Linked DNA regions of Coturnix japonica. The protein of the gene in region 1 interacts with the protein of each later gene in a biochemical or structural test. Links are inferred from orthologs where the notes say so. Each region holds a gene or a part of one and is shown on either strand. Other genes may lie near its edges.

What was found. The genes of interacting proteins can lie anywhere in the genome.
Region 2: the proteins of COPB1 (region 1) and ARCN1 form a complex in vitro, tested with the Homo sapiens proteins (2 studies listed by BioGRID). The link is inferred for Coturnix japonica from reciprocal best matches to the Homo sapiens genes COPB1 and ARCN1.

What each region holds. Positions count from the first base shown.
Region 1 is NC_029520.1:14,570,186-14,574,272, forward strand, and holds part of COPB1 (coatomer subunit beta), read right to left. Parts: intron 3,175-4,087; coding exon 3,055-3,174; intron 2,647-3,054; coding exon 2,539-2,646; intron 2,450-2,538; coding exon 2,303-2,449; intron 2,073-2,302; coding exon 1,927-2,072; intron 991-1,926; coding exon 894-990; intron 471-893; coding exon 310-470; intron 173-309; coding exon 52-172; intron 1-51. UniProt on the Homo sapiens protein: The coatomer is a cytosolic protein complex that binds to dilysine motifs and reversibly associates with Golgi non-clathrin-coated vesicles, which further mediate biosynthetic protein transport from the ER, via the Golgi up to the trans Golgi network.
Region 2 is NC_029539.1:4,767,747-4,772,303, forward strand, and holds the start of ARCN1 (coatomer subunit delta), read right to left. Parts: upstream 2,902-4,557; 5' UTR 2,734-2,901; coding exon 2,731-2,733; intron 2,715-2,730; exon of another isoform or gene 2,700-2,714; coding exon of another isoform or gene 2,697-2,699; intron 1,497-2,696; coding exon 1,233-1,496; intron 660-1,232; coding exon 480-659; intron 262-479; coding exon 56-261; intron 1-55. Other genes in the region: IFT46 (intraflagellar transport protein 46 homolog), read left to right, coding at 3,009-3,311, 3,728-3,867, 4,061-4,135, 4,249-4,342. UniProt on the Homo sapiens protein: Component of the coatomer, a cytosolic protein complex that binds to dilysine motifs and reversibly associates with Golgi non-clathrin-coated vesicles, which further mediate biosynthetic protein transport from the ER, via the Golgi up to the trans Golgi network.

The DNA.
Region 1 (4,087 bases):
CACCAACCAGCTCTTCTTCACAACTACAGTGAAAGCACAGAGATGACTTACGTTTTGCTTCTTCTTTTCCTGAACTAGTGACACGTATCGTAAAGCAATCTTTGTTAAAGTGGTAGCAAGGGAAGCAGCGACAAAGAAATCCCCATCAAGCAGGAATCCTCGCAACGGAGGCCTAAAAGGACAGACAGTCATCAGAAACCTAGTTCAGAAGATACTTCAAAAACACTACATTGACCACTCAACTCTCCATGACAGAGAACGTCACTTAAAAAAAAACTTTTACTAGGTCTAGTATGAAATCTTAAATACCTGTCCTCCTCCTTTTTGGTGGGCCGGGAACTACTCAGAGCACTCTGGGTTGCATAAGTACCCATCTCTGTCACCAGTTTCTGGACTGGGCCCACGGTCACCTCTTCTTCAGGTTTTAGCTCACCAGCTTCCTTCTTGATTTCAGATTCTACAATTGGGATCTAAACACAAACACATAGATGTTCAGGTACATAGAGAAACCTCCTACAGCTGTGCATAAAGCTCATGACACTGCATACAGTGCTTGCAGAGCTCCCAAGACTTAAAGCACTCTTCATTTTTAGTGCATATAGCTATGGTACTCATATGTTCAAGTTGACACAGTGTTCTGAAACAAGCAATTTTTCACCCACTCTCCTAAATCTGAAGCATTCTAATATTTATTCTCAATACATGCCAGTTTCTACTTAAAAATAATTCAATACTGAATGCAAAATCTACTTTTTGCTTTTGGCTTCTTGCACACACAACATTACAACCGTTCAAAACTCTGTATTGCATTTTAATTGTTTTAAATCCTTTCTTTAGTACAATGTATGTAGTGAGATAAACCACAAAAAGTTAGAATAACAAAATAAACACACCTCTCCAAGTGATCTGCGAACTTCTGTCATTACACTTTGTATATCCTCCTTTGTGCTGCAGTACTCTCCAAGGATCCATAAAGCTCCTCGATAAATCCTAAAATAAGAAGAGGAATTTAACCATGTTTTAATGATAAACTAGCATTAAGGGTAGCTATTCATGGACAAATTCAAAGGGATGTGATGGGCAGGAAGTAGGTTTGATCTACAACATTTGTCCTTTCAGCCTCAATAAACTAATGAACAAGTATATAAAATAAGAATTCTTCTCTGCTACTGTTTCATTCCACCTGTGCTAAGCTTGGTATTTATAAAATTACATTTCATTACCATCACAACCAGCTCTGCATGTTAACAAAGACAGCTGTAATTTCCACAGCTCCCTGAGACAAACTAACTTCTCATTTCTCCTATATGAAGGAGAAAACAGAAGGCTGAATGAAGATTAGAGGAAAAAGAATAGCAGTGCTTTTCAGGGTTGGGCTTATTTATCACTTAATGACATACTGACAGAGCCAAAAACTTGGGATACTCAGAAAGAGGCATCTTCAAGCAGAGAAGTTCCCCTCATATGACTGATCCATCAGAATACCAAGCTTTGAGCACTTTGCAAGTACTAAAATGCTCTCCAGATTCTTATTTTAGGGCTTTCTTTTTCTGACAAATGTCCAACTTTTTCCAGTTCCCTACAACTGCAAATTCCCACTGCAATATTCCCTTAGTAATTCTGTTTTAACAAATGTATCGCTTTGGTGTTGGCCTTCAAGAACGTCATCCTCTAACAAACAGAAGCACAATTAACAATAGCATCAAGAAAACAATTTGAACTCATCTGTGTTCATGTAAACAGCACCCACTCTATCATATAAAAAGAGGAGAGATGGAAACCATCTCCCTGTGATCATCTACCTCCTGTACCTTCTGTGTGTGTGGACTGCAAGGCTTTTGGTACATACTTAATGACAACATACATTCAATGTAAATGAGCCACACACTGCTCCAGTTCTGGTTTAACATTGTATCTGAGACTCACTTGACAGATTTAATTGCATGAAAGACTTCAAGCATCTTCTCAACAATAAGAGGTCTGAGGTTATCAAATCGCTGGATTGCTTCCCGAACAAATTCCAGTACGTCAGCAGCAGCAGCTTCATTATTATCACTGAGGAACTCCATCAGCTACCACAGCGTGGGGAGCATTAACACAAAGAACAAAAAAGTTACATTTCTATCACTGTACTACGTTCAGATGCAGATATTTCTTTAGCCATGAGAATTAGTCTGACTGACTGTAAACCCACTTTTAGAAAAAACCTTAGCTTCGCTTATTTTTTTTACGCAGATGGGTAGTAAGGATTTTGGTACAGCAGGACATAACTGAATGACAAGATAATTAAAGATTTCCATACCACTGGAATAACATTCGCAGCCATATCTGGAAACCGAACACTGCAGGAATGCAATGTACGAACAAGCAGCTGCCTGTATTTGTCAGTATCTTCATGCTCTGTCACATTATTAGTCTTAATCACTTCTTTCTTCAGAACAATCACAAGCTGCAGAAAAGATCAAAAAATTGAGGAAAGTCACGTATTTTTCTGGTGAATAAAAACATGTTATGAGACATGTGTAATATATCTTTTACCTCCTCCACATTTCTTGAAGAAACCAGATCCAGAGCCAGCTGAAGGGTTTTTTTGCGCACTTCCAGATCTGGGGTACTCAGAACTCTGAGGATGTCCATAACCAGATCCTGAAACAGTTAAAAAATAAATACATAACTGCTTTGTTGCTTCAAATTACTCCATCCTCAGTTCTACTTTTCAGTGCCCAGTAATTTCCCAAGATGTTGTGGACGCAGAATATATAACATAGTGACAAACATACAACATATCCTAGAGGTTATGAAGTTCAGTCCTCATTTCATCCATTCTTACTCTTCTCAGGCAAGCTACTAAGCCTTACAATCACGTCAACATTTACCGTAGTTACTGCAGGCAATAGATACAGCAAGCCTAAACGTAAAAGACCATTCAGCTGTTTTCAACAGACGTATGAACAAGAGGTTTAAATTTCAGAAGGGCATTTTGTACCATGACACCTGAAAATTTATAGGGAAGGAAAAACACTCAGATGGCTGGCAAGAAAAGAGCTCACATACCTGTAACACTCGCTCATGGGAGGGATGCTCCTTTAACTCAACCAACCGATCCAAAACAATCAATTTCACATTATTATCACTTTCTTTAATAATCAAATCTATGTAGCATTGGGCAGCTGCCTACGTTAAAAAGGAACAAAAATATTTATGTAAGTAACAAAGTAGGAAACTGGGCAAATCTTGAAGACAAATTCAGGAAAAGACAGCTTTTACTTATCTACTAGAGCAACAATGCAATGAGTTGGCACCGAAATTAACCTGAGAAGTGTTTAAACTTTCTGATAAACCACAAAGATGGTTCCATCAGTTTGTTATAGTAACACCACAGGAAGATGCACAGCTTACAATTCACAGCCTTGATTTCAAATTCAAACAAAACCATAAATTTCCTTGCATGCTTTGAGTCAAATCTTAGGTATAGGACAGGACATAAAAATGAATTTAAAATAGTTGACAGTGTTAGCATATCTAGATATGGTTTTAATGACAGCTTCTCCGTATGATACACATACTCAAGGAAAATGACTGCACTAAAGCAAGAATGTAAGAATTAATACACCTGAATTAATACACTTCTTTTGAAGCTACTATTTACAATATTTTTACTCTTATTCTAGACTGGTATATTCTATTTTTCATTAGAATTTAGAATTCCCTTATGATCTCAAGTAATCAACACCACAAAGATAAATAGGAATGTGAGGTCAAGCAGGAATCAACACAGATCTTCAAAGCCGTGCGTTACCACTTTGAAAAAGAATCACATTTCAGAGTAATGAAAGTAATTCAATCTCTGGAAATCTTCAATACTGGTCATCTTTAACAAGAAGGTCAAGAAAACAGCAGGTTGATACCAACTACTGTGATAAATTGCACAGATGCACAAGCCTGTCCATCAGCAAGTGGCATGAGGTCCACCAGCCACAAATCTGCAACATACAGTCCTAGTCTCTTCTGAGCAATTTTAAGAGACGTTTTAAGACAGTTTTACACACGAACTGTCAAAACTGACATTTTCCTGAAGCCTTCATAC
Region 2 (4,557 bases), on another chromosome or scaffold:
AAGCCAAACAAAACCCTTCAGACAGCACTAACTGCTGCCAACTGCACACACCTACCTGGACGGTGCTGGTGCCACTTTGGGCTTCTCTGTTTCAATGATGGTCTCTGTGATCATTGCTGCTGTTGTGCCCCCAGACACAGCTGAGCTGCCAAAGCCACCGAAGCCAGGCGCCTTCTTGCCCAGCCTCTCTGCATCCCTCCTGGCCTGCTGCAACTCCTTCGCTTTACGACGCATCTCAGCTTTTGCTTCACGTTCCTGAGTCTGAAATAAAAGATGAAAGCTGCTAAAGCTTTGCAATCTCAGTTTTATTCTGTACAGCTGCTCACGGTGTCTTCTTACAAACACAAAATGCCAAAGAATGGGTATTCAGTGTACAGGAAAGCTAAGTATCTTTAAAAGCCTTGCCAAAGTGGAGTAACACCTTTGCATAAAGAAGCAGTGCTCCCAAAGCACCTTGCACCACAATTAGTTCCACTCACCTCTCGGACAGCTCGGAACACCTTTTCTTCATGCGACTCCATCTCTGTGAAGGTCCGAATTTGTGCCAAGTTTACATTCTCACGGTAGCCCAGGGCAACAATTTCATCAAAGGCAAAAATCAGGTCAAAGCAGTGCTCAGAGATCTCATTCTCCTCTAGAGCTCGGCAATATTCAGGGATCTAGGTAGGGAAAAGCATTGCAAACAGATGTAGATGTGACAATCAGCACCCACTGAGCTGCTGTTTAAGATGAAGTTTTGTGACTATTTTTTTCCTTCAACTAAAACACTTATGGAGTCTTTCAGCACAGTTTTAACTTTGTAATTCACTACAAAACACACCCTGTGATGCTGCTCAGTTTCTTGAAGATCCTTCAGCTGCACAGATATAGATTATGAAGTTAATTAAAAAAACAACTGCAAAAACCCATGACTTAGAAATCCATTTAGAGCACTGCTATGCTTCTCAATCACAATGTGAAGCCAGGACTGAAGGAATGCAGTTGCTACCTAAAGAACATAGAAATATCTGACACTACATTCGCAGCATCTCTTTGGCCTCACCAGTTAAATGGCAAGCATGGATTTCTCACATGTAGTTCAAAATTACCACAGGAGCAGCAAAGGTTACTTCCAGGTCAGGAACAAGCCATAGATAACCAAGTTATGAGGTGGAGGCAGAGTGCTTCAGCACCAGCTTGCCACTGTTTGGGGCTACAGGTGTGAACACAGGACCCGACGTGTAGATCCTTACCACTCTAGAGAAGAGTCGGAGTGTTTCCAGGTCTTCCAGGATGTTGCTGTTTTTCGTGGTGATCAGCACCATGTAGAGCTTCTCCATCGGCTGATACACGTACCTCACGCTCTCTGTTTCCACAAAGGTGTGTTGCTTCCCAGTGTTCATCAGTTTGGGGAAAGCTGCCAGCAGCCCCTCGATGCGGGTTCGGGTCATCTCCACAAACTGCCGGGAGACGATGGCCTTCCCTGCCTTGGTGCAGACAGCTGCCGCCAACAGCACCTATAGGGACACAGACACAGCATTGAAAGCTCTCAGTCCTCCATTCAGGCTAATGCAACACCTTTTCCTATAGGGCTATGACAAAACCCCAGCAATGCTTTAGGCAAAAACTGACTTATCTGTTAGTTCAGCCCCAGCAGAAAAGTCACAATAAAGACCAGAACACTTTGAAATGTGACATCTCTTCCCAGTGCCACACTTAAACTAAGCCGGGTTAATAAAATATTGACCATTATATTAATTACAGCACGTGGATGGTTCTCCTGGGCATTTCACTGATGTTATCACACCAACAATAGAAAGGCATTAAGGTAACTGCCAATTCACCCTTTCTCATTCTCTCCGCCTCGACTTCGTCCTGAAATACTTCTCTCACAGATTAGTTTCTTAATTAACATAGTGAAGATAAAGCAGTTTCTAAAGGTAAGATCCTTTCACTCCCCAGCCAGTTTTAATCACAGTATCCTAACAATGAGAAGCACCAGAAGTTCTTCAGTGTCTGTACATTTCAAGCATGAACCCCAGCACGGCCAGGTGAGCAGCCAGCAACTGCTGTACATTGAGTGGCCATAGGAACCCTGTAGTCAGGGATATCTTGAAGAAAGCAACAGGCATAAGCCTCCATTTCCCAACTGCTCTTTGAAAGGGCTGTGAGTGCAGCACAGCACAGCACAGCACCGAATGGCACAGCTGATCTCAGCAGCACCTCGGCCTCTGTCACCAAGCAGCAGGTCCCGTTCGGGGACGGAAAGCTCACAGCTCCACGTCACCCACAGCCAACGGGACACAAGTGACCTCCACCCGAGCTGGCAGCTGAGGCAGCAAGAGACGAGGCCTGGTTACAGATGTCAGCCTTAACGCTGCAAGCAGCCTCCACGTTACACATCACGCAGCGCACAGCGGGCAGTGCCCCCCAACCGCCCTGCGGCAGCGCCCGGTAAGCGGAGCTGGAGGCTCCCACAGGCCGCGCCACGTCCGGGCCCGGAGCGCAGCGTCACCCGGCGGGGCAGCACGGCCTGGAGCGGCCCGGGTCCATCGCGGAGCTGCGGAGCGATCCGACAGTGCTCGGGGACGAGGCCAGAGAACGGCAGCGGAGCCGCCGAGCGATGAGCGGCCTGGCCAGGCCCCGCGAGCTCTCCGACCCCGGTCCGGCCGGCAGCGGCCCCACGAGCGGCGGCTGAGCTCTGGGCACAGCCTTACCATGGCGGCGGCTCATGGCCGGGCACACCCTTACCATGGCGGCGGCGCTCGGCTCGGCGCTCGCTCCCTCGCGGCTCCGCGTCCCCTCGGGCAGCCCCACAAGATGGCGGCGCCGAGCCACGTCCCCAGCCGGAAGCGGCGCCGCGCACGACGCGAGGGGCGGGGCGGGGCGGGAGGACCCGGAGCGCGGCCCTGGGGGCGGCCCGCGTCAGTACCGGCCCCGGCCGGCAGGGGGCGACACCCACACGCGGCTGCGGGGCCGGGCCGCGGGCGCCGCTCTAGCCGGGAGAGGGAGAGCGAGACGGGGTCGCCATGGCGACGGAAGGCGGCGTCATGGCGGAGCGGCGGCCGGCCGAGGGGAGCGGGGACGGGCCGGGCCGCGCCATCGCCTCCCCGCGACCCTCCGCACAGCCTCGGCCCGTGGAGAACCAGCCGTACGACGAGAGCCTGGAGCTGCCGGACACCGAGGAGGCGGCGGGGAGCGAGAACCGGCCGCAGGGATCCCGCCGGCCGGGGCCGATCTGGTCGGGAGGAGGCGGCACGGGAGCGCGGCCCAGCGGGGCGGGAGAGCGCGGCAACGACCGGGAGGGAGGAGGAGGCAGCAGCAGCAGCAAGGTACGGGGGGAGAGGGGCGGTACGGCACGGGACGGTACGGCATGGTATGGTACGGTATGGTACGGTACGGTACGGTATGGCACGGTATGGTACGGTACGGTACGGTATGGTACGGTATGGTACGGTATGGTGCGGTATGGTACGGTATGGTACGGTATGGTACGGTATGGTGCGGTATGGTACGGTATGGTACGGTATGGCATGGTATGGTACAATACGGTATGATACGGAACGGTACTGCACGGTACGGTACGGTATGGCTCGGTACAGTACGGTACGATACGGTACGGTACGGTACAGTATGGCACGGTACGGTACAGCACGGTATGGTATGATACGGTACGATACAGTACAGTACGGTACGGCACGGCACGGTACGGTACAGTAAGTAAGGCCGCGTCCCTCCTGCCCTGAAGGAAACAGTGGCCAGGCTGGGACCCTCCACCGCCAGCGAGGACGACGATGATGACGATGATGATGATGATGATGACGATGATGAGGATTCCTCCGAGAGCGACTCTGAGGACTCGGAGGAGCGCGGGGCTTCACTGGAGGGGTGAGCAGCGGAGGGAGCCGGGAACCCGTGGCTTAAAAGGGTTGAACAGAGTTGTGCACGGACAGGAAGCCTCTTACAGTGAGAGTGTCCTGCTTCTGCTTTGGGGCACAGCTGGATCCATGTTCGTGCCTTTGTTCTTGTACAAAAACTGATAGGAAGTAATGTCTGCAAGAATTGCTTTTCCTCTCTTCAGTGACTACAACCTCGCAAACTATGACTACCTGCCGGTATCTCCTGAAATTAAAGAACTCTTTGAATACATAAGGAGGTGAGTTGAAGGAGCTTTCGCCTGCCCTGGGTTCTCCTTTGTCTCAAGGTCTTTGTCTCTGGCAGGAAATGTCAATTGCCCACTATGCAATCCTGTTGTTTTTCTCTCTCAAGATACACTCCGAAAACAATACAGATTGAGCACAAACTGCAGCCTTTTATTCCAGACTTCATTCCTGCTGTTGGAGACATTGATGCCTTCCTAAAGGTACAGTGTTTTCAGATATCCCCATACCTGCTGACACACAGGGTGAAACAGAAGGTGGTTTAGATATGAGCCTGGCAGACTGCAGCCACACTGACCTGGTGGTAGCGAGGTGCCCTTGCCCTGTGCTGCAGATACTGCTGTAGACACCTAGGAGATCACAAATAGCAACACTATGACCTGGCTGGTCACTTTGGTAACATCCCACATAGCACATA